4 linked regions of the Arabidopsis thaliana genome follow. The protein of the gene in region 2 purifies or fractionates together with the protein of the main gene of each other region. This does not show direct contact. Each region holds a gene or a part of one and is shown on either strand. Other genes may lie near its edges.

The links.
Region 1: the proteins of AT5G52490 (region 2) and RLK902 fractionate together in Arabidopsis thaliana (co-fractionation; one large-scale study listed by BioGRID). This does not show direct contact.
Region 3: the proteins of AT5G52490 (region 2) and AT4G02840 fractionate together in Arabidopsis thaliana (co-fractionation; one large-scale study listed by BioGRID). This does not show direct contact.
Region 4: the proteins of AT5G52490 (region 2) and AT3G07590 fractionate together in Arabidopsis thaliana (co-fractionation; one large-scale study listed by BioGRID). This does not show direct contact.

Annotation. Positions count from the first base shown.
Region 1 is NC_003074.8:6,451,016-6,455,799, reverse strand, and holds RLK902 (Ribosomal protein L7Ae/L30e/S12e/Gadd45 family protein), read right to left. Parts: upstream 2,498-4,784; 5' UTR 2,364-2,497; coding exon 2,237-2,363; intron 2,142-2,236; coding exon 1,930-2,141; 3' UTR 1,782-1,929; downstream 1-1,781. Other genes in the region: WNK6 (with no lysine (K) kinase 6), read left to right, coding at 1-22, 179-336, 430-853, 946-1,493; TSK (tetratricopeptide repeat (TPR)-containing protein), read left to right, coding at 2,755-3,021, 3,146-3,946, 4,458-4,634.
Region 2 is NC_003076.8:21,295,713-21,301,427, reverse strand, and holds AT5G52490 (Fibrillarin family protein), read right to left. Parts: upstream 2,572-5,715; coding exon 2,553-2,571; intron 2,317-2,552; coding exon 1,943-2,316; intron 1,861-1,942; coding exon 1,783-1,860; intron 1,691-1,782; coding exon 1,445-1,690; intron 1,351-1,444; coding exon 1,189-1,350; downstream 1-1,188. Other genes in the region: AT5G52480 (RNI-like superfamily protein), read left to right, coding at 3,666-3,814, 3,934-4,510; FIB1 (fibrillarin 1), read right to left, coding at 4,919-5,098, 5,197-5,265. UniProt on the Arabidopsis thaliana protein: S-adenosyl-L-methionine-dependent methyltransferase that has the ability to methylate both RNAs and proteins. Involved in pre-rRNA processing.
Region 3 is NC_003075.7:1,261,909-1,268,175, forward strand, and holds AT4G02840 (Small nuclear ribonucleoprotein family protein), read left to right. Parts: upstream 1-2,718; 5' UTR 2,719-2,817; coding exon 2,818-2,831; intron 2,832-2,955; coding exon 2,956-3,032; intron 3,033-3,225; coding exon 3,226-3,255; intron 3,256-3,993; coding exon 3,994-4,185; intron 4,186-4,277; coding exon 4,278-4,345; 3' UTR 4,346-4,551; downstream 4,552-6,267. Other genes in the region: AT4G02830 (uncharacterized protein), read left to right, coding at 539-634, 732-821, 973-1,129, 1,685-1,774, 1,903-2,024; AT4G02850 (phenazine biosynthesis PhzC/PhzF family protein), read right to left, coding at 4,627-4,734, 4,824-4,907, 5,026-5,187, 5,265-5,594, 5,675-5,872. UniProt on the Arabidopsis thaliana protein: Involved in splicing regulation.
Region 4 is NC_003074.8:2,419,903-2,425,958, reverse strand, and holds AT3G07590 (Small nuclear ribonucleoprotein family protein), read right to left. Parts: upstream 2,909-6,056; 5' UTR 2,814-2,908; coding exon 2,800-2,813; intron 2,661-2,799; coding exon 2,584-2,660; intron 2,506-2,583; exon of another isoform or gene 2,370-2,505; coding exon of another isoform or gene 2,357-2,369; coding exon 2,165-2,356; intron 2,063-2,164; coding exon 2,001-2,062; 3' UTR 1,972-2,000; downstream 1-1,971. Other genes in the region: AT3G07600 (Heavy metal transport/detoxification superfamily protein), read left to right, coding at 1,005-1,010, 1,113-1,191, 1,271-1,659; AT3G07580 (uncharacterized protein), read left to right, coding at 3,298-3,347, 3,464-3,495, 3,931-4,077, 4,303-4,353, 4,526-4,578, 4,684-4,782; AT3G07570 (Cytochrome b561/ferric reductase transmembrane with DOMON related domain-containing protein), read left to right, coding at 5,753-5,932, 6,011-6,056. UniProt on the Arabidopsis thaliana protein: Involved in splicing regulation.

The sequences.
Region 1 (4,784 bases), on a different chromosome or scaffold from region 2:
GCTAATGCCAAAAGTGTGATTGGTATAGTTTCTATTTCCCGCTTGTTGGTGTTACTTACATATTCACTTTTTCTGGTTTAATCCAAGAAGACCGGATACAGTTGTAGCCATGCTATATTCTTTGTCTGTCACATTTGAATTTCTCTTCTTTTGGGGTCAAATTGTATGTTGCCAACAGGAACCCCGGAGTTTATGGCACCCGAGCTTTACGACGAGAACTACAACGAATTGGCTGATATTTATTCATTTGGGATGTGTATGTTGGAGATGGTGACATTTGATTATCCCTACTGTGAATGCAAAAACTCTGCTCAGATATACAAGAAGGTTTCATCGGTGAGTTAGCAACAAAGACATATATGCCACATAATCCCTGTCAATAGTTTACGGACAAGATTTTAACCGATTCTTCTTCTTGGTGATTTCAAGGGAATAAAACCTGCTTCACTCTCCAGGGTTAAAGACCCAGAAGTAAAACAGTTTATTGAGAAATGCTTACTTCCTGCATCCGAAAGGCTGTCAGCAAAAGAGCTTTTATTGGACCCTTTTCTGCAACTAAATGGTTTAACAATGAACAATCCTTTGCCGCTTCCTGACATTGTAATGCCCAAAGAAGGCGCATTTGGAGACCGTTGCCTTATGTCTGAAGGTCCTCCTACAACACGGCCTAGTAAAACCTTGTCGATAGATCTTGATGAAGACAGTAACCTGCCTATTGTTACTTTTAGCGACAATTCAGGATCCAGGTGTATTGAGGTTAGACGCGCAAAGAGAGGGAATTTCTTTGTCCTCAAGGGTGAAGAAAACGATGAGCAGTCTGTGTCCTTAATTCTTCGTATAGTAGATGAGAATGGTCAGTTCTTTATTCTGCTCCAGCTAAGATTCATTACTTTCTTCGATATTTTTGCATTCTGAAACTTAATATAACTGTGTCTTGTTGCACAGGGCGTGTGAGGAACATTCATTTCCTGTTCTATCAAGAAGGGGACACTGCTTCTAAGGTGTCGAGTGAGATGGTTGAGCAACTCGAGTTAACTGACCAGAACGTCACGTTTATAGCCGAGCTGATTGATATACTACTTGTCAACATGATACCCACCTGGAAAACCGATGTCACAGTCGATCATCTCATCCATTCGCAACTGAATCAGAACTCAAGAAGTCATCATAACGAAGCAAAGCCACAGAAACAAGAGGAGACTGTTTTTCATGATACTTGTGAGTTGGTTAGTCACTCGTGTAACTCAGATTGCCCACGATCAGATGAGGAAGATAAGCAATGCGTCGATGCCACCAAAGGAGAAGACAAGAGCTCCATTCAAGAAGTAGAAGAAGCAACCGAACCAGTAAGTTTGGAGGAAGAAGAAAGGTTAAGACAAGAGCTGGAGGAGATAGAAGCTAAGTATCAGGAAGATATGAAAGAGATAGCAACGAAAAGAGAAGAGGCCATTATGGAGACGAAGAAAAAGTTGTCTCTGATGAAGTTAAAGTAATAGCCAAAAAAGCTCAAAGAAAACGTTGATACTGATGAAGAGCTTTTGTGTTTTTAATCTCTTTTGTTTAATTTGTTGGTTGGAGGAGAAGTGTAGAAAGATGAAGGGTTTCTATTTGATTAATTGAGATTTAATTTGGTTGGTTGTTACAAGTTAGAACATAAAAAATGGTTCCTGTTAAAATGTTCTAAGAGATTGTCCATTATATATGATTTTGTATAAATTGAACATGTAATTAGTTAATAGCCAACTATTGTAATAAAAGTAATCAAGCCTTTTCGTGTAAGGAATCAATCAACAGAGACGAAAATGTAGTAATTAATTATAACCATTAAGAGGAAGTCGGGAAACCAAAGAAATCTAACATTAAGTCTTTGAAGAACACAAAGCATAATCAAGCATAGAGAACAACATGGCAAAATCATCAAAATCAGAATCACTGATCTCCAGGAAGTGTCTTGATGATGTCGGAATCACCAGGATCAACGATGCTGAGGCAAGAAACTCGGAAGTATTTACCACAAGCAGTACCCAAATCAACATTGTTGCCATTGTAGCGATGAACTCCAACTTTAGCAAGCATCGCATAGTATTCAATCTCTGACCTTCTCAACGGTGGGCAATTGCTAGATATCAATATCAGCTTACCTAAACCCCCCAACAATATCCAACAATTATTCAACTAAATTACGAGGAAGACGAACACTATAATCAATCGATGAAGAGGGATTTTAAATTTTTACCTTTGGAGCTGCGAAGGGATTTGAGAACAGACTTGTATCCAAGAGTGTACTTTCCACTCTTCATCACAAGAGCTAATCTGCTGTTGATTCCTTCATGGGACTTCTTCGCCTTCTTCTCCGCAACCATTTTTCACCGCCGGGAAGATTCAGATCGCAGGTTTACAAGAGAGAGTTCTTCTTCGGGTTCGGGCGGCGCAAAATGATAGTTTATATAGCGAGTGCCTTAGAACCCTTAGGGTTTTTTTGTTTTCTTGTCAGGAGACAGGAGGATATAAGAAGCCCAAAATAAACTCGACCCAAGGCCCAAACTAAAAGGCCTATAACTTCAGGATTTAGGGTATGAAAATTTCTAATTTACCCTTGAATTTTGGCGGGATAGTTTGGGATGGGACCAAAAATTTGGCGACTGGAGAAAATGAGAAAATCAAAATCACTGAGAAAGAAATTTCGAGAAATCTGAAAATCGGAAGGAAGAAAACAAAAACCTTTCAATTGAAGAACGGAGAAATCATCATCCGATGGGTCGATTAGATGTAGCTGCGGCGAAGAGAGCGTACCGGAAAGCAGAAGAAGTGGGTGACCGGAGAGAACAGGCGAGGTGGGCTAACAATGTCGGCGATATCCTTAAGAATCATGGAGAGTACGTTGATGCTCTCAAGTGGTTTAGGATTGATTACGATATCTCCGTCAAGTATTTACCTGGGAAAGATTTGTTACCTACTTGTCAGTCTCTTGGCGAGATCTATCTCCGCCTCGAAAATTTCGAAGAAGCCTTGATTTATCAGGTAAGCCCTCTTGAATCAATTGCTTTTTCCTACTTGGTTATTGTTGGCTTCCTGAATTTTCCGTGAATAATTTTGGTGTTTGAGTTTTTCATTTTGAATTTGTGTTTTTTTCTGGTGGTTGCAGAAGAAGCATTTACAGCTAGCTGAAGAAGCTAATGACACTGTGGAGAAGCAAAGAGCATGTACTCAACTTGGACGTACTTACCATGAAATGTTCTTGAAGTCTGAGGATGATTGTGAAGCCATTCAGAGTGCTAAAAAGTACTTTAAGAAAGCCATGGAACTTGCACAGATTCTCAAGGAGAAACCACCTCCTGGAGAATCTAGCGGATTCCTTGAGGAGTATATTAACGCACATAACAACATCGGTATGCTTGACCTTGATCTTGATAATCCTGAAGCAGCCCGTACTATTCTTAAGAAAGGGCTGCAGATTTGCGATGAAGAGGAGGTGAGAGAGTATGATGCTGCTCGGAGTAGGCTTCATCATAACCTTGGAAACGTTTTTATGGCGCTGAGAAGTTGGGATGAAGCAAAGAAACACATTGAGATGGATATTAATATCTGTCATAAGATTAATCATGTCCAAGGAGAAGCGAAGGGGTATATCAATCTCGCTGAATTACACAACAAGACCCAAAAGTACATTGATGCTCTTTTATGTTATGGTAAAGCTTCTAGTCTAGCGAAATCTATGCAAGACGAGAGTGCATTGGTTGAACAGATAGAGCATAATACCAAGATAGTCAAGAAATCCATGAAAGTTATGGAAGAATTGAGAGAAGAAGAGCTTATGCTTAAGAAGTTGTCTGCAGAAATGACTGATGCCAAAGGCACTTCGGAGGAACGAAAGTCTATGCTCCAAGTAAATGCTTGTCTTGGAAGTCTTATTGATAAATCTAGCATGGTATTCGCATGGCTGAAGGTGAGTTTTATAACTTAAACACTCCTTCCTTTTTAGTCCTATCACTCCACCCCATGTTCGCATTTATTTGAAAAGTTTCCAGAAGTTAAAGTTGTCCATCGTAGGGGTTTTTAATGATGAATAAGCATTGTGAGATTTCATCAGGTAGTATGGAGTAGGAAAAATATGCTATTTTCTTAGATTTGATTTAAGTTTTGTGAACTTCTGCTATTGACACTGTCTTTTCAGATCAGTCAGGAAGACTATATTATCAAAGAATTACATGATTCTTGTTCTCTCAAGAAAACCTATCTTTTGAATGCTGGGATAATATCTTTGTTCTGAACTTGCAAAGTAAAGTTATTATGTGGCAAAACGATGATTATTCTGTATCATACGGATACTGAGTGATCCAAGTCTCTGCATCACTGTTTCAATGACTTGTGATATAGTTTTGAAAGTTAAGTAGGAGGCTGCCATTTGAAGTTTGCATGCAACTAAAGGGTTGCTATTTCTTCTTTGAATGTCTTAGCATCTTCAATATTCAAAAAGGAAGAAGAAAATATCAGATGAACTCTGTGACAAGGAAAAGCTGAGTGATGCCTTCATGATTGTTGGAGAATCTTACCAAAATCTCAGAAATTTCAGAAAGTCCCTGAAGTGGTTCATAAGAAGTTATGAGGGACATGAAGCAATTGGTAATCTGGAGGTGAGATTTGTTTGCTTGCACGATTAATTATAAAAACCTATGTTCACTACTGTCATCAGAATTTGATTCACAAAACCAGAAATAATTCATTAGGCCTCTACTGAACATTTTCTGTGGAAAACTGATTATACCTTTTCTTGGATTTGTCAA
Region 2 (5,715 bases):
AATGTTTCTCCTAATGAAAATTTTGCAGAATGAGACATCAAAAGAGAAGAGAGACTAGTCAGTTTAAACGGTATAGCTTTAGAATTGATTATGGTTAGTTCTGGTTCTCTTTCTAAACTTACCAAATTGTTAGTTTTTTTTTGTAGAACAAATAATTGGTGAACATGTTACTTGTGTTATTGTTAACCCATATAAGAAAAAGGTTATAAATGAAGTTGATAGAAGCTTACCATCGACACACGAAAATCCACACATTTCCTTCAATCATTTTCTTTTGCAATTTGTTTTCCACGTGTCCAGCCATCTTATTTCTTTTATTTTCAATGTTACAGCCAATTGGTCTATTTTCAATGATAATATGATATAGCTCAAGCAGACATTGATATTGCGCCTATTTTCATATTTTGCATTAGTATCCGTTTAATCTATGTCAATTAAGTTTAGTGTAGTTATACAAACAAAAAGTCAGGGTGGCCGAGTGGTCTAAGGCGCCAGACTCAAGTTCTGGTCCTCGTAAGAGGGCGTGGGTTCAAATCCCACTTCTGACATTTTTATTTTGTTATTTTTCCCTTTAATACATGACCTGATGACCAATTTCAAATTTACTCTTAAATTTTCAAGGATGAAGTTCATTACGAAAGTTTAATCTATTAGAAGGCAGAACTGAAAATAGCAAATAGTGCAAAAATTTTATTCTTTGGAACATATTTGAATAATGTGATTATTTTCAGCTAATTATCGTCTTCTCTTTGTCATAAACACAAAACAATGTATTTATCAATTATGTCTAAGGAAACATAAATTGATGAACAAGCAGAGTTTCACTTTCTGTCTACAAATTTGAAATTACACTTCCACAAAATCATATTATCGATAACAAACTTTTAAAATCACATTGAAAATCTCAAATCACAATGAATGATTCTTCAATGTAACGTTGTGTTAGTTCCACGTTCGATAAAACAAACCAAAATATAAATACTAGAATTCAACTCAAAATGTATGTGTATTCTACCTTTTGTTTTTGCAAAACTCAACTTCTTAAAACTCATACTAGTTAGAAGACAAATCACAGTGAGAATCAGAGAAAAATAATAATTTTAAAGCCTCATGAATGTGTATGAATTTTAACAATCACAAACTAAGTAAAGAGTATCAGCTTCCTAATTAGATAGCAGTATCAGCTTTTTACTTCCTAGGCAAGCGATATCCACCAAAAACACAAGCATGCTTTTCCTCACAAGAGTCAAGATGCAATATCTCTGTTGGTCTCAACTCTTCCATTTGTAACTTCTCCACTTCCATCTGATACACAGTTTCTGCTGCAATTGTTGAGTCTATAGAATTCGCCTGAAACAAGTAACTTAGAGTTAACCAAACAATGCACACTAAAAAGAGAATGATTTTGATTTGAATCAATGGTCAAAAAAGTTTTGTTACAAACCTTTATAGAGATCATAAAGTGCCCTCCAGATTTGAGGAAATAAGAAGCATTGAGACTTAATATGTTAGCTTGCTCAGGGTGATTAACATCAGAGAATATGATATCAACCATTCCCACAAGCATTCTATATTTAGCAGGATGTCTAGCATCTTCAATGATTGGTATAACATTAGTTCTCTTCTCCGCCATGTTCATCAAAACTTTACCACAAATATCAGAATGCTCAACAGCGTAAACACATCCCTCCTACCAATCAGAAAAGCTAGATATAAGTAACATAGAGAGAAAACACTCACTCAATCTTAAAAGTTAGGGTTTAAGGTTTAGTGTTCACTTACTGGACCAACAATGTCAGAGACATGAGACACGGTGTATCCAGAAGAAGCACCAAGGTACAGAACTTTAACACCAGGTTTCTACAATTTCAAGAAACAAGTATTCATTAGTTTCGGTAACAGAAGAATAAAAGAGATTGTTACTTTAAGTTATGGGACTTACGATCCAAATGTTATCAACACCAGTGGTAATAGCATCAGCTAACTTAGATCTATGAGGGTTCCAAACTCTGTATTCAACAGTAGATCGGTCTTCGTTCTGAACAAAGATTCTCTTCTCATTGTAAATGATTTCACCAGGAACTAAGTTCTTGGTTACAAGAGCATCTGCTTTACTTTTGGCAACAAACACTCCTGCGTGCCTGTGTGGTGTCACTAACACTTTGCTTCCTCCCTTAATTCCACCGTCCGATTCACTTTTAACTCTTCCAGGCCCTCTTCCACGGCCACTTTCGCCGCCTCTTCCACTGCCTCTTACGGCACTTCCTTCACCGCCTCTGGCTAAACCTCTTCCACCTCTAACACCACCACCACGTCCTGAGCATAATCATACAGATAAAACCGAAATTAACTAATCAGAAGAGAGTATTATTAAATCTCCTATTAAACTTGGATTGAAGAAGTGAAGACTCAAAACAGTTTACGTAACAAGCAATTCAGGTAGATATATTGTGACAAAACGAATTTGGAGTTAACAACCCTCAACCCTATACTATAGGTCGAACAGAGAAATTAAACAAGTAGTAAAACAAAACGGCTGCTAGGGTTCTAACCTCTTTGGGGAGGTTTCATCTTTGCTATAGAGCGAGAGCGAAAGCAACAAAGAGAAGGTTGATGTTAATCGATGTTTGCAGCTTTCGTGTTTGGTTTTTTTATTTTTTAGTTTTTATCGAGCCCCTGCTAGGGTTTAAGAATGTTTATCTATTGGAATTTGGAGTTGGTATAGGAAAGCTGGAAAGGTTCCATTTATTTTTCCGATAAATATGGAAAAGTTTTTATTTATTACATTTAACAAATTCTGTTAAACAGTTTACTTCTTGTAGGAAGATTTCAGATCCTATCGAACTCTTTTTATCGAATCACCACCATCAGATTTCTTGTTATGCAAGGAATACATGATTTTGAAATACAAAAGGTCAGAATATTAGGAGCTTAAGGCCCAATAATTAATTCAGGTAATGGGCTTATTAGACATGAATTGTTTTCGTAAACTTAGTGCCATAAGGACTAGATTGTAAAATTTTGCATCTTATTGTTATAACTTTATATTGCAGATCAAGTAATCAGAGATGCCTTCTGACTTTAAAGTCCAAAACAATCATTAGTTTAAACAAAACAAGAAGAGGAAAAAAAATCACACGAAGTTGGACAAAAAACTCATAAAATTGATTTTTTTTTCATTAGTTAATAAACAATTAAGGCCTTGAATGATTGTAAATTCTAAAATGGTGTCTAGTTTGCATAAATAGATTTTTTTTTTTTGCTTTTCATTAATTAATAAAAAATTAAAAATTTAGATTTCTTAGCTTTTCAGGAAACTTTTTTATGCAAACTAGAAACCATTTTAGAATCTACTACCATTCAAGGCCTAAAACTAAAACCAAAAACTACTTAGAATCTACAAATAATCAAAGAAGGCCTAAAACTAAATGACTTTCTGATATATATATTTCACAGATTTGACATTTTGATCCTCATCAGAAATGGATCCGCTGTCTTCACTGATGAAAAACGAAGAGCCAAAAAACTGGGCGGATCTTCCGACGGATTTGATGTGTTTGATTCTGCTACGTCTTAGCGTGACTGAGATACTGGAGAACGCTCAGAAAGTGTGTAGATCGTGACGATATGTTTGTAAAGACCCATCCATATGGCGTAAAATCGACATGCGAATCTTGAGTTACAACAAACCAGTACTGGTGAACAATCCTGAGGCGATATGTCGTAACGCCGTTGATCGTAGCGAGGGTGGCTTGCTGGAGATCAACATTGGGGACTTCGGGAGTGATTCTCTCCTTACATACATCGCGGAGAGGTTCTCCTCTAATTCTAGTTTTGACTTTTGATTACTTTTCATGTAAGTCTTCAAGTGTCTGTTAAAAACAGATATCTCAAGATTATGATTTATAACTTTTTACACACCATTACTTGTAGGTCAAGTAATCTTAGAAGCCTTAGACTAATGTGCTCAGAAATAACAGACGATGGATTTGTTCAAGCAGTTGTGAAACTTCCAATGCTTGAAGAGCTTGAGGTTTCAGGAATATCATTGTCAGGAGAGTCTATGAAACTTGCAGGGCTGTCTTGTCCAAATCTGAAGACATTGATGCTAAACCGCCTCTTTTACTTAAGTTCGGATGATGATGATCATGATGCCATAGCAATTGCAGAAAGCATGCCTAAACTACGCCATCTCCAGCTTTGTGGGAACAAACTAACCAAAACAGGCTTAAACGCCATTCTTGACGGTTGTCCTCACCTGGAACACCTCGATTTACGCCAATGTATCAACCTTGTCGGGAATCTAGAGAAGCGTTGTTTTGAGAAAATTAAAGATTTGAGACGCCACAATGATTCTACCTCTGCTGATTACCCGTTTTCTTTTGAAACTTACTATTTTCATTGGTCACGCCAATTGGCAATACTTAAAAATGCGCTACCGATGGAAGAAGGCGCCTATAACTTTGATCCAATAGTGGAAGAAGCCGAATATTACTTGAAACTGTATTGAGACTTATGTCAATAACACTTAGTCGGTTTGTTTGTGTTTAAAATTTTATTAACCAAAAAAAAATGAGTTCCTTTCAGAGCTAAGTGATACTTTTACGCCTTTTCTTGAGCATAATCATGTTCAAAACAAACTACTTCAACAATCAATTCAGCATGCAGAAACAAGTAGGATTAAAATGGACAGTAGTTCTTATAGCCAAGCAAAAACAAGCATAGAAAAGACTGATGGAGATACAATCATTGGACGAAAATGTTGCATCAATATATATTAGTTCTAAAACGAGGATAAAATTTTCCAAATGAGACATAAAAGCATTATCCATCTCTAGCTTAATACAACAAGCAAGGAGATAAAAACAAAACCCAGTAAATAAGTCTTAATACACAGGCACTACTGTCCACAGTTCCTCTATGAGGCTGGGGTCTTTTGTTTCTTCGGCATGCGGTAACCACCAACAACACAGGCATGGTCACGCTCAAACGGCTCGAGAGTCACCTGTTCTGCTGGCTTAAACTGCTCTTGTTGCAGCTTCTTCACCTCGCTCTGGAAGACTGCTTCTGCTGCAACTGTAGAGTCGATACAGTTGGCCTGAACAGATGAGACATGTTTATTTAGCGACGGAAATACAAATTGAATAATAACAGAGGAGAACATTGTTGAATTTGATTAAGGATAAGAGCACTGACCTTGATTGAGATAACAAAGTGTCCACCAGTTTTGAGGAAAAATGAGGCATTCAGGGCCAAGATTCTTGCCTTCAAGAGTTAGGCAAATAGATGGATTCAATTAAATAAAACATAAACAGAGAACCAAAATGAGAATAAAGAGAGACATTAACATAAACATAGAAACATTTATGGAATCATTGCAGATTTCTTGGAGCAATCTCTGCTAGCTCAGCAATATTGCTACAACAATTGAGTCTCCAAGTTTAGTAATAAAGTAAAACTTCTAAATGACTTGAAAATGCAATTGTTGAAAACCAGAAGAAACCGAAAAGACTTCTTCCAAATCGATAAGATATACCAAATGAAGACAAATAAAAACTTTGAGATTAAAACAGATTTGCATGTTCAAAGTAAAAAATTTTAGTAAAAAGATACAAAGTAGCATCAGAAGCTTGGAGTTTGCAACACCCATAAATGTTCTGAAGGGGAATCCAAGTAAAATCATCATCTGCCGATTTCATTGTACTGATTTTTTTA
Region 3 (6,267 bases), on a different chromosome or scaffold from region 2:
TACTACACGGTTTATATGAATAATTGCAACAAACAAAAGCTTCTAATAGTAAAACTTTATAGTCTAGTAGTTTTCATTAATATTGGCGTTACCTCACGGTTACCACGCGGTTTATGTGAATAATGGTAAAAAAAAAACACTTTCCAAAGTAGAAAATGATATGATTATTTTTGTTTTGTTTCGAAAATTTGAAATGAAAGGGTGTGTAACTCTCGTTTCATCCTCGTAGTAATGATGAAACCAAATTCAAATAATAAAATCATTGAAACTCTTCTTTGTTGTCAACATAATAATTAGTTTTCTATAAAACCAAATTTGTCGTCATCATCTCTCCTTCTACTTTCCAAACCCATTAATATTTATAGTTAAGATTCAGGTCAGAAGTTGGGGACAATCAAAACCTCTTCTCTTCTTTCTTTTGTCAACAAAGAAACATTTCCATTGAGTCTCTCTCAATGTTCTTCTTCTTCTTCTTCTAAGATTAATTCAAAGTGTTTAATACTTTTGAAATTTTAAGTTTCTTTTTGGTCAGTTTCAAATGGGTGACATCATCGGTCACAAGGATAGGCAAATATGGCCACCCTCTCATCATGTTCTTCAAGATCCATTGTTTGATCATTCCAACAAACATCAGGTTTATATTATCTTATATCTAAATTTTTTCTATTTGAATTTGTTATTTTTTTCTCCTATTCTATATCGAAGTCGTTGTTAATTAAATTCTCACATAGTTGCAGAAATATGTCAAGAACCACCATCACCACGGCAACGGTGAATTTCGTCGGCCCGGGGCACCTCCTCTTAGACAAACATTTCCTTTGGTATTTCTTTTCAATCTTTTTTTTGGTTACAATCTCTTAACGGTATTGGAGGAAATATCATTATGGACATTAACGTATGTATTTAAACATATCTTATATATTTTCAAACTAAAGCTCAAATATTTTGTATATATATTTTTGTGTGTTGAAGAACTATAATACAAGACAAAAGCACCAAAGCAATTGGCAAAGGAGTAAAGGAGAGGATCGTATGCAAGCATTTTTCTTGGTTACACCGGGCCGTACAACTTCTGGCACCGGAGTTTTTCTTCCAGCCACGGCTTCTCATCCACCCACCAAAAAAACAGGTTATTTATTAATTACTCTATACTAAGTATTTATGAACACAAATAAAGGTGCATAATGTTTTCAATTTCATAAAATCAATTCTACCAACTGCATATACTAAAATTCTTTTAGTTTCAGGTTAAAGTTGATTTGACATGATTTTTAACTTACATTTTGTCGTTAAGTCGTTTTTTTTTTTTTGAAAATAATGTTCAAATTATATTCAAAAGAAAAATAACTTTTTTACAACCACTGCTTCTTGAGATTGAAGATTTAGAGCTAGACAAAATTTAGAAGAATTTGAAAATTTTTGATGATTTTTTTTGTCGTTTTTTGTTTTAAACATATATAAACACAAAAACCTCAATTCTTCGATTACTACGAAATATATCATGGATTCATACATCTATTACCATTTTTTTCTATCTATTTCGTAGCTTTTGTAGGACAATTGACATAAAGAAATTGTGATTTGTTGGTTTTTACGTTAGTCAGCCTTTACTATATAGACTCATTAATATATGATTTAATGTTATACAATTTTGATTGATGAAAACAAAATTCTCTTGTCATAGCTTGCTCACCGGTGCTTCTCCCGACTCGTGTAGTTCAAGCACTCAATCTTAACATTCACAACAACGGTATCCATATTTCTCCTCGTCCAGGTTCTTTTCCAACCATTATTTGTTCTCATCGACCGTTATTCAAATACATTGTGTTATATATTACAAATTAGTTTGAACTATAGATATATTTTGGTTGAAATTGGTAACATTGTTTCTTTTGAATGTAGAAATTAGAGAAAATGATTCGAAGAAGAAGAGCGAAATGTTGGCAACAACACCTATCAAGATTGAAGCAGAAAATCCTATTGATTCGCCGGAGAAACTTCTCCCCGAGGAATGGATTTATTGATGACCCAACCATTAGTATGGAAAAGTAGAATCAAATAAAATAAAATGAAAGATTCTTGTGTTGATGTTACAAAAGAAAAGAAAAGATTCTTGTGTTGATAAGAAAAGAAAAGATTCTTGTGTTGTATGCTTCGTCACCATTGGATTAGTAATAAAAATCCAAATAAGAGACTCTGTATATTCCATTCATAATGTAATATCCCCTATTTTCAGTTGAAAAATTTGCATAATTTAGTTGTCACAATTATTAATGGATTTAGGAAAAATTGGATCAACAATACCAAGATGAATGACTGGATTCGAACACCAACGTTACTATTGGGCTAAAAGGCCGAATCAAGAATACTAAAACCTTTTGTTTTTTTACTATTTAGCTAGCTAATGATGAAATTTTTTATCATTGTATTGTTAATTTTGACTAAACAAAAGTTTTAAACAGTTTTTTTTCAAAACTAAACAAAATGTGATTGATAAAAGATAAATTTCTAAAGTGAGTGATTAGATTCCGCAAATCAGATTATTTGAGTTAATTATTCTGTTTCTTTCATTTGGGGTTGTTTTTGTTCAATAAAAAGTTGAGAAGGGTGTTATTGATAAGTTCAAAACAAATAGGGTATAACCAAACATTCAAGGAAGTAAGAGACCGTCGGTGTGAAGCAGAATCCATAATTGGGGACTTAAACATAAATTCCCCTATTGCTGCTTTTCCTCCTCCCGCTCTTGCTTCTTGCCATTGCTGTTTCGAGCTCTCCTCAAAGCCCTAATTTTCTCCTCTTCTTCTTCATTCTCTCACCATGAAGCTCGTCAGGTATGGTTTCTACTCGGATTCTCTTTATTTCTTCGGTTTAATTGGAATTTGCTTCGAAATTTTGAGATTTCTCTTTGTTTTCATGCTCTTCGATGTTTGATTTCGTATCTGGATTTTTTCGCAGGTTTTTGATGAAATTGAACAACGAAACAGTTTCAATCGAGCTTAAGAACGGAACCATTGTTCATGGAACCATTACTGGTACGCTTCTCTTAAAAACCCAGCTCTATTCGCTGTTTAGGGTTTTGTGTAAAATCTACGATGCTTACCTGTAATCGATGGTTACTCGCGTATTCACAAATTCTGATGGTGTAGTTTGAGTTTAGCTAGTGTCTTTCCCCTAATAATGCTTTGTTGGTATTAACCCTAGTGACACTGGTCAAGTCAGATGCAGATGAGTACACTAGATTTTACTTGAATCGAGGTTTATGAGATAGTTTAGTTCTTCTTCAAACTTTGATCACCCATGAGGTAGTTTACTTTCTCCTTTGATGGTTGTAACCAATGGAGCTCTCGAATTTACTAATTCTGATGTGTAATTCTGTTAATAGACCTAGAAATGCATTGTGGGTGTTGAATCTCTCTTGTTTGCAATAAGTGAATGATAATGGTGGTCTAGTCAGATGGAGATGATACATTTTATTTTGCTTTATAGTTGGGTGTATGAGAATGCTTAGTTCTTCTGGGAGTGAGTTTAGCACATGATTATATATGAGATAGTTTACTTTAGTTTCCCTCTTTATCATTGTGGACCTCTCTTGTTAACAAATCCTGAGGCTTAATTCTGTTATTAGTGATAGTATCTGAAGAAGTTAGAGTTTAGCTGAGTCTTAATTATTTTTTTACCTCGAAATGCTTTGTTGGTAACCCTCTTGTTAGCAAGAACTGAGTGATACTTGTCGAGTCAGATGCAGATGATTAGATTTAGCACATGAAAGTCACTCTTATCTCTTTCCTTGTAAAGAAAATCTCTGATTTTTCACAGAACAGTTACCGTGTGGCTTCTTGTTTCAACTTCTCTTTTAGTCTGATTGATCTAATACAAGTGGTCTCTGCTGTTAATGTTTGGTTTGGTTTCCTTTTTCTGCCATCATCTTGTTTAGAATGCAATTATCAATCAACTCACTGACTGGTACTATCTACTTGTGATGACTTAATGCAGGTGTAGATGTTAGCATGAACACTCATTTAAAAGCTGTGAAACTCACTCTGAAAGGGAAGAATCCAGTTACATTAGACCACTTAAGTGTCAGGGGAAACAACATTCGCTATTATATTCTTCCGGACAGTTTGAATCTGGAGACTTTGCTGGTTGAAGACACTCCAAGAATCAAACCCAAAAAGCCAACTGCAGGTAACAAAACATTTCTTTTTTCTGAACTATGCCTTTGTTTTTGTTTTTGTTTTTGCTTAGACTCATCTTTCTATTGTTCTCTTTGGTATCAGGTAAGATTCCAGCAGGTCGGGGACGTGGTCGTGGAAGAGGTCGTGGACGTGGCCGTGGTGGTCGTTAAGCATTTTGCAGTAATCAAAAGTCTGGTCCTTTTTGGTTTGTAACAGCAGGATTGTAAAAGATCTATCTTGTAGTGAGATTTGGTGTCACTAAGACAAATTCTTGTTATCTCTTTAAGTTTTCATGAATTTGAGATTTGAAACGTTATTGCCAAACATACATCACTCAATATGTTTTATTATTGACTTGATCACTTTATTACATAGTCTGATAAAACGTGGGGAGTTCGAGAAATCAAAATCTTGACCTTATTTTTCAAGACTTTGGCAAAGAGTCGAAAGATTAAACTAAGATAGAGCCTTTCATGACAGTCACAGCTTTCCCGGTAAGCAAGACTCTCTGCTTCTCCTTATCATAATGAACCTTGAGTGTTCCACTTCTTTGCGAAGCCTGAAAAGAAATTCGTTGATTCGTTAATATGTGTGATTATTTCTTGCTTCGAAATGTTAGTTAGCTAGTTACAGAGAAAGATGAATTACCGCAAAAGCGACGAAATCACACTTGTTCATCTTGAGGCTCCAGTAATGTGCTAATGAACAATGTGCACTTCCACATACAGAGTCCTGAAGGAACAAAAGCACCAAGCAAATAAGGTAACGGTAAACACTTTTGGTAACGGCTACCACAAGTAAAAAGCAGAGAATTGCTCCCATGCACGAAGTTGCAGGTTAGTTTCTTAACCTCATTGAGCCCTAGTTTAGGAGCAAAGAGTCGACTGCAGAAGTCAAAAGGAGATCCTTGAGGAGCAGCAGCGGTAACAATCATCACTTTGCCAGGGCATTTCACGATATCATCCACTCTTGGCTGAAATTCAATGACAGATTCCCAAGATGAAAGCACAACCTGTAATCAAATCATATAAATAAGCAAAAAATAGAAAGTTCACAAGTTTTCTTTCTAAGGAAATCTGAAATACATACGATGATTTGGTCTGTTGAAGTTGTTTTGAAAGCTCCTATCAAGGGTTTAAAGATGAGTCTATCAGTTTTAGTTTCTCGAACATCGACAATGGTAGCTCCATTCAAGGCTTTAGAGAAGATGGAGACATCCTTGGAGCTGTACTCACAAGTTGTAATCACAGGGAAATTCATTTCGATCAAGAAAGATCTTTTAGAGTCACAATCAGACAGCCTTTTAGCGGTTAGAATCCCCGAGTTGGTGGAAAATTCGACAGTGTCAGATGAACCAACCAAACTGTTTGAGAAGATACTATGAGCTGATGCTAGTGTTGCATGACCACATATATCCATCTACAAAATCAAATAAATCGAACATTGTACAAAATGGAACGGAGGGAGTAATAAAATACAAAAATGTTTGCAAGATGGACCTCGGCTACAGCCGTGAACCACCTCAGAAGGAAACGTGGTGGTTCGGAGCCGGGGATGGGAATAAGAAAACACGTCAATGGAAGGTCAAACTCAGAGGCCATAGACTGAAGCCACACGTCGTCTCTCTCATGATCCTCTTCAAGAAAACACACTGCAGCTTGGTTCCCCTTGAAGGCTGACTCAGTGAATGCATCAACCTGTGTTTAGCAATACTCGTTCATAAAGAAGAAGAAGATCACATTATCAGAGCAAAAACAAAGAAAAGAATATACAATTACCACGAAGTACTTGACAGGAAAATTCATATCCATTGACGTTTTTGGTTCTATTTTTGCCATTGATGTTTTCGTTAGACCAAAGCTAAACTTTTATACCATTTTGGAGGCTTTTAATTTACAATGCCACTTCATCTTTTAAGAGAAACAGACAATCTTTGTAGGGCAAAATCTTATTGAAACAAATCTCGGCTTTTAATCTTTTTTGTTTTGTTTATATGCTAACAGTTGAATTGTACTCAAATCATTATGAAATCTGCAGCTTTGCAAAATTTTATATTCAGCAAAGGACAGATCTAATCAAGTGGAAGCAAGCA
Region 4 (6,056 bases), on a different chromosome or scaffold from region 2:
TCTTTTCTTTTCTTTCCAAATTCTTTTTTAAATCATGTTTTTTTTTTGCTAATACAGGGAGATCACAGAAACCAGATTGTATATGAAGATGTTAAAACTTAAACTTGATTATTTTTTATTTAGCAAATAAGATTATATTTATTTACCCGTTTATCTCCATGAGATATGATACCTAATTACCTATGATATATCATTGGATCAAACGGTTGCAAGTTGCTGATATCACTGCAATTGGCATCATCAATGTGTAATGTGTTAAGAAATTAAAGTCAAATTAGCATTAGACAACACACATTAGTATAAACTAAAAGCTTATTGTTTCATTACGTTAGAAAACTGCAATATGATTGCGAAAGTACGTATTGCAAGTCAAGCATATAACATTTGTTAATACAGATGGATGACAGATTAGTAGTCAAGTTAATCTTTTTTTTTATTGAGAAGGAAGTTAGAGGGAAACATGTACTCTAGAGAAGACCAAGACTTTTAACGCATCTGTTCTATTCATTGTTATGCACAACTGGATGATGAACAAACAAAACTTATTAATCATCATAATTGACATATCGACTCAAAAATTATTAAGTCTTTTGCCATACATGTCTAAAACTACCAGGCAACGGTGTAGTAAACAAATATTATTTGTGTTGTTTACCATTATTTAATCAATTTATTTTGACCCAGTCAAATAACTATTTCATCTAATTTTTTGACTCAATCAAATAAAGATTTTTGTTAGGCTTTTTAAAATTAAAAAATTGGTAATAAGCTCGTACGAATCGGCAACTAGAACCAATAAAACACGTAAGGACCGAAGATATGAACCTGACAACGATATTCAAACTATCGGATTCCGTTGTGTGAGACAACGACTCATGGAACAAATGAATATATAAAATCGATCCTTATTTATATTTCCTCTAATTTGTGATCGAAGAAGACACAAAAAAGTTCGGAGCAAACTCCCATCAAACAAATCACGCGGATTCTCAGAAGACAATAACATGAAGGTATGTCTCCTGTGTACTCAACAACAAGTAATAACTTCGATTCTCTTGTGAAAGAGAGAGACTTCTCTTTGTGATGTTAAGGAGTTCTCTTATTGTACTCAGCAAAAGATCCTGATAAGAATTGCTATGACTGATGACACAACTCGAGCAAAGGCAATGAAAACTGCGGTTCAGTTTAAAGGTAACAATGATACAAACACTAGAGAACTTGATGATTGTAATTCTTGTTGAATCTAAAGATTTATCGCATTGGTTTATAGGCGTGAACGCTGTGGAAATAAAGGGAGATCACAGGAACCAGATTGAGGTGACCGGTGTTGAAGTCGATATGATTGCTCTAATCAACACACTCAGGAAAAAAGTTGCATTTGCGGAGCTTGTTAGCGTAGCTAAAGTTGAACCACCTAAGGATGGTGACAAAAAGCCAGAAGAAGAAAAGAAACCCGAAGAGAAGAAACCCGAAGAGAAGAAACCTGAAGAGAAGAAACCTGAGCCATGTTGTCAACCATGGCAAAAACCTGAGCCATGTTATCAACCATGGCCTCATGATGGATATGGTGTGCCATCTTCCTATCCCTACCCGTGTGATCCCTACAATCAGATCGGGGAACCCGTTTACAATCAAGATCCCAATTGCAGGATCATGTGAGATAGGTTTCATGTGGAAGATTAACGGAGGAGATAGCAGTTTTTCTATACTAAGATTGTCAACATGTTAATGCAATTTGATAGTCAGATTTGTTAAATGAATAAAAAGTCTTGAGCTATCAGTATCACACAAATTCTCTACTTGTAGATGCTCTTATAACATGTAAAGCCAAATCTTGTTATCCATGGAATTCCATTACAAAGTAACTCCTTACTAGAGCATCAATCATACTATTTCTCAATCAAATCTTTCCTTTGCCAGAGTTGCTAGTTACATAACTCGTACATTCTCCTAAAAATTAAACTCACAAACCTTCAACATGTTCCAGAGCGCTGCTACATCTAACGACCTCTGCCGCGACCACGCCCACGGCCACGTCCGCGACCGCGTCCAACAGCTTTCCCTAAAGAAGAAAGAAAGAGAGAACGAATAAATGGACTGATAAAGAAGTCTTTTAGCTTATGAAGACGAATATTACAAACACCAAAAATGAATGAAGCAGTACCAGCAACAGGCTTCTTAGGTTTAACTCTAGGAGTGTCTTCCACAAGTAAAGTCTCGAGGTTCAAGCTATCAGGAAGAATGTAGTAGCGAATATTATTACCCCTCAAGCTAAGATGATCAAGTGTTACTGGGTTTTTCCCCTTCAGGCTCATCTTCACTGTCTTCAAGTGAGTGTTCATGCTCACATCAACACCTGCCCAAATCATCAAGCTTAAACTTCAATAAATATACCTTTATGACTACTGGCTCTAACTGTGTGTTTACTCAACCTATTCATGTGATCACAAGGACGCGATTAGGGCCAATTGAAAATAAGGGAACAGATCGCGACTTGTATAAGACCTAGCAACGGAGAAATCGAGAGAGAAGAAAAGATGAGAAGAGCTACAAAGAAACCGGAAGCTAACAATAAGAACTTACCAGTGATGGTTCCATGGACCACAGTCCCATTCTTCAGCTCGATAGACACAGTTTCATTGTTTAACTTCATCAAAAACCTACTCGATCCAATCAAAACCATATAACACAAATCAGCTCAGGCTCAATATTGGGAATGGATTCCATGCCAGGAGCTAACTAAGATTAAGAACAACATGAATTTTCTAAAGAAAAGAAGAACTGAGAACGAAACAGTACCTGACGAGCTTCATCTTTGGATGCGAAGAAAGAACAACCAAACAAAGAAATTGACGAGGAAACAGCGAAAGGTGTGAAAACCCTCAAAACCCTTCTTTCGCTGTGAGAGACCTCACGATGGAGCGGGTACAGATCCGATTCCGGTTTTGGATCCATCAGCTAAATTACAATATTGGGCCCAAAAATGTAGTAAGGCCCATAAAGTCCAATGGTGGACCAGTAGATGTTTCAACCAGAAATCTACATACAGTTGGTTCAGCAAACCGGAAATTGAACACGAAACGTTAATTTCGGAAAGGCGTAATAAAAGCGCGCGAGAGGTTGATAAACACGCGTCGAAGAATTCGCGCGTGAAGATTGAACGACTTCAGACGAGAAGACGCTTTTCAACGTTCTCTATGCGTTAAACAGTTGACTGTTGACAGATCTCCTCCGGTAGAGAGAGAGAGAGAGAGAGAGAGAGTTCTCTGAAAAAACTGCGTAAATCCTAACTCGTCAATGGCGGATTCGAGCTCCAATCAGAATCGATACACTCCTCCTAATCAAAGGTAACTTCTTCTTCTTCTTCTTCAGTGGTCTTTGATCTGCTGATTTCGAGTGTTCTTTATTCTACTGATTTCGCTACTCCGTTCTTACCTTTCGATGTTGCTTCTCCGTGTCACAGGAAGGCTTCTGGGAATCGCCGGAAGTCGGGAGGTATGTGAGCTCTCTCTCTCTCTCTCTGTCTTCTTTGCCTCAGTCGTTCTTTATTGATTCTTAATCAATTCGGTTCTTAATTCCGAGAGTATCTAGTTCTGTGGAGATTATAGCTTAGATCAAAGATTGTCGATGAATAGAAGTAATCTTGTTTTGTAGATTCAGGAATTGATTGCATGCGAATCTGTACACATTGTGTTTGTGCATAGTTGGTAACTTCAAGAACCGTTTCTAAGAAAGTGAATTATTAGGAGTTTAGCCTGAAATTCAGATCTCGCTCTCTCTTTATTAGCAAATCCGCTGGTTGATTCATTTCTCCATGTGTGTACTTGACCCATTTGTTTGCCTGTTTTCTTGAAAATAAATCGTCGTTCAAGCTATATCTGGTTTTGCTAGTATGCTATGGTTCTTGGCTAAATAAAGAGTGAAATGCAGATCGAACAAGTAGCCAACAGAACAACGATAATGAGAGAAATCAGCCTCCTGCTACTGGTCTTCAGATGGAAAACATATCCCAGACCCAGAGGATAATAACAATAAAGGACTGCTCCAGGAGTGCAGCTTATCAGCTCATGAGCCAACGTATAAATCTGAACTATCTCTTTAAACATTTAGCTGGTTTATTCTTTGCTCTGTATCACTATCTGGTCGTTCTTCTATCAACTGTTGCTATGCTAAGCATTTGTTGAGTCAGTGCTAGTTTTAGAAATCTTTGAACTTAATAGATAAGGTGTGTTGAATTCACTGCTTATGCAGTCAGTTTTATGTACTTGTCTTATTTACGTGCTCTTGATTTGTCATGAACAGGATGGGCAGCTGAAATGCATCAATACGACGACCCAACTGTGGATCTATCTGGTGAGATTAAGGGATTCTAAGTTTTCCTTTGTCCTTTGTGTCTATTATACTTGTGCTGCTTGAGTTGCCTCCAAATACAATCAGATATATCTATGTTCTTATCTGGATCTCTGTCTTCCGGTTAGTCAAGTATAACTGATTTTCAAGTTTGCCTACTTTCTCTGTTTCACAGTGCGACCAATCATGTACTATGGAGGGAGTGTTTGGGGTAAACTACCTCATCAGGTGGAACTAACTTCAAACTCTTATCATATGCTTCTAGTTTTTCTAAAGATGTGAGTACATGAATGATGAGACCCCATCTCTTGTTTTGTGTCAAAACAATTACAGATCCTGGCTGCAGCAAACAAGACATTACCTCCTCCATCGCCAACGGATTACATGACTGAAGTGCGGCGAGGATTGCTGATGCCAAAAGCCAACAATTGAATGGTTCTTGTTCAGATGATGGAGCCCATATAGACTAGTGAAATGGTGTTTGTTGAGATGGCACAAGCGGTGGTATGTCAATGACTTTTATATTGTGTGTGTGTAGGATAACAGATATTGCTTTTGTCAGGATCGGTTGTTTTCTCTGGTCCCTGAAAGTGTAAAAAACCCAAACCAGAGATTTGAGTAACAATCACGTTACCATCTCATTTTAGCTTAACTGGATTACAAATTCATTGCTCCTTTCATCTGTCTTACAAAGTTTGGTTTTGAATTAGACGGGAAATAGACCGTCTAGCTAATAGAAGCCAGTTGTTACAAAATTTATGTGAATCCAAGTACTAAAAGTAATAACACCAAAAAGGCAAATGTATAGTAGTACATACTATTATCTGTATGTCTGAAAAATCCCATTGGTCGATCAATGAATAAACACAATGCGGCAGATGCAATCAATAACCAGTTGACTTGAAACTTAAACTGACTAGACCGATACTGGTCGTGAAAAAGCTAGGATTCGTAGCAAGTACTCCAAAAATTAAAGAGAGATTTATCATTTTGTCCTTTTCAATCAAGTTTATTATTTTTGTCTTTAAATGATCAAAACATGTTAAGTTAGCTGGTACATTGCAATCATTTTTCCACATCTTAAGCCGACGAGAGACAGAGAAACAGAACGAAAGGATTTTTACTCTTTCTTAATGAAACAGAGCTCTTTATTTACCAGATTAGTAATAATAATGATATAAAAAAACGAATTCTAACGATACAAAGAATTTTAAAATTAGTTGAATTCTCAACTGCTTCTTCACACACACTATCTCATAAACAAGATATATATATATATATATATATATATATATATATACAATTCATTGTCGTCGTCATCATCATGATCCTTCTTCATTAGTCATTTACTTTCCTCTCTCTTTCATCTTTCAGATCCAGAGAGAGAGAAAGAGAACAAAACATGAAGCTTTATTCTGTTTCCATCATCATCTTCGTCTTAATTGCTCTCTCCACCATAGTTAATGCTCAACAAGCTGCTACAGATTCCTGCAACTCAACTCTACCTCTCAACGACCTCACCTTCAACACCAGCCTCCTTCAATGCACCGAAGCTTGGACTCCCCAAAATTTCATCCTCCGAGTAAGTCAATTTTCCTAATTTTCAAATTTCCAACTCTGAAAATATTGAAACCGAATTTCTAATAATATTCACGCGTAGTATGCAAGAACGGCAGAGAACACATGGAGCTTTATCTTATCGGCGC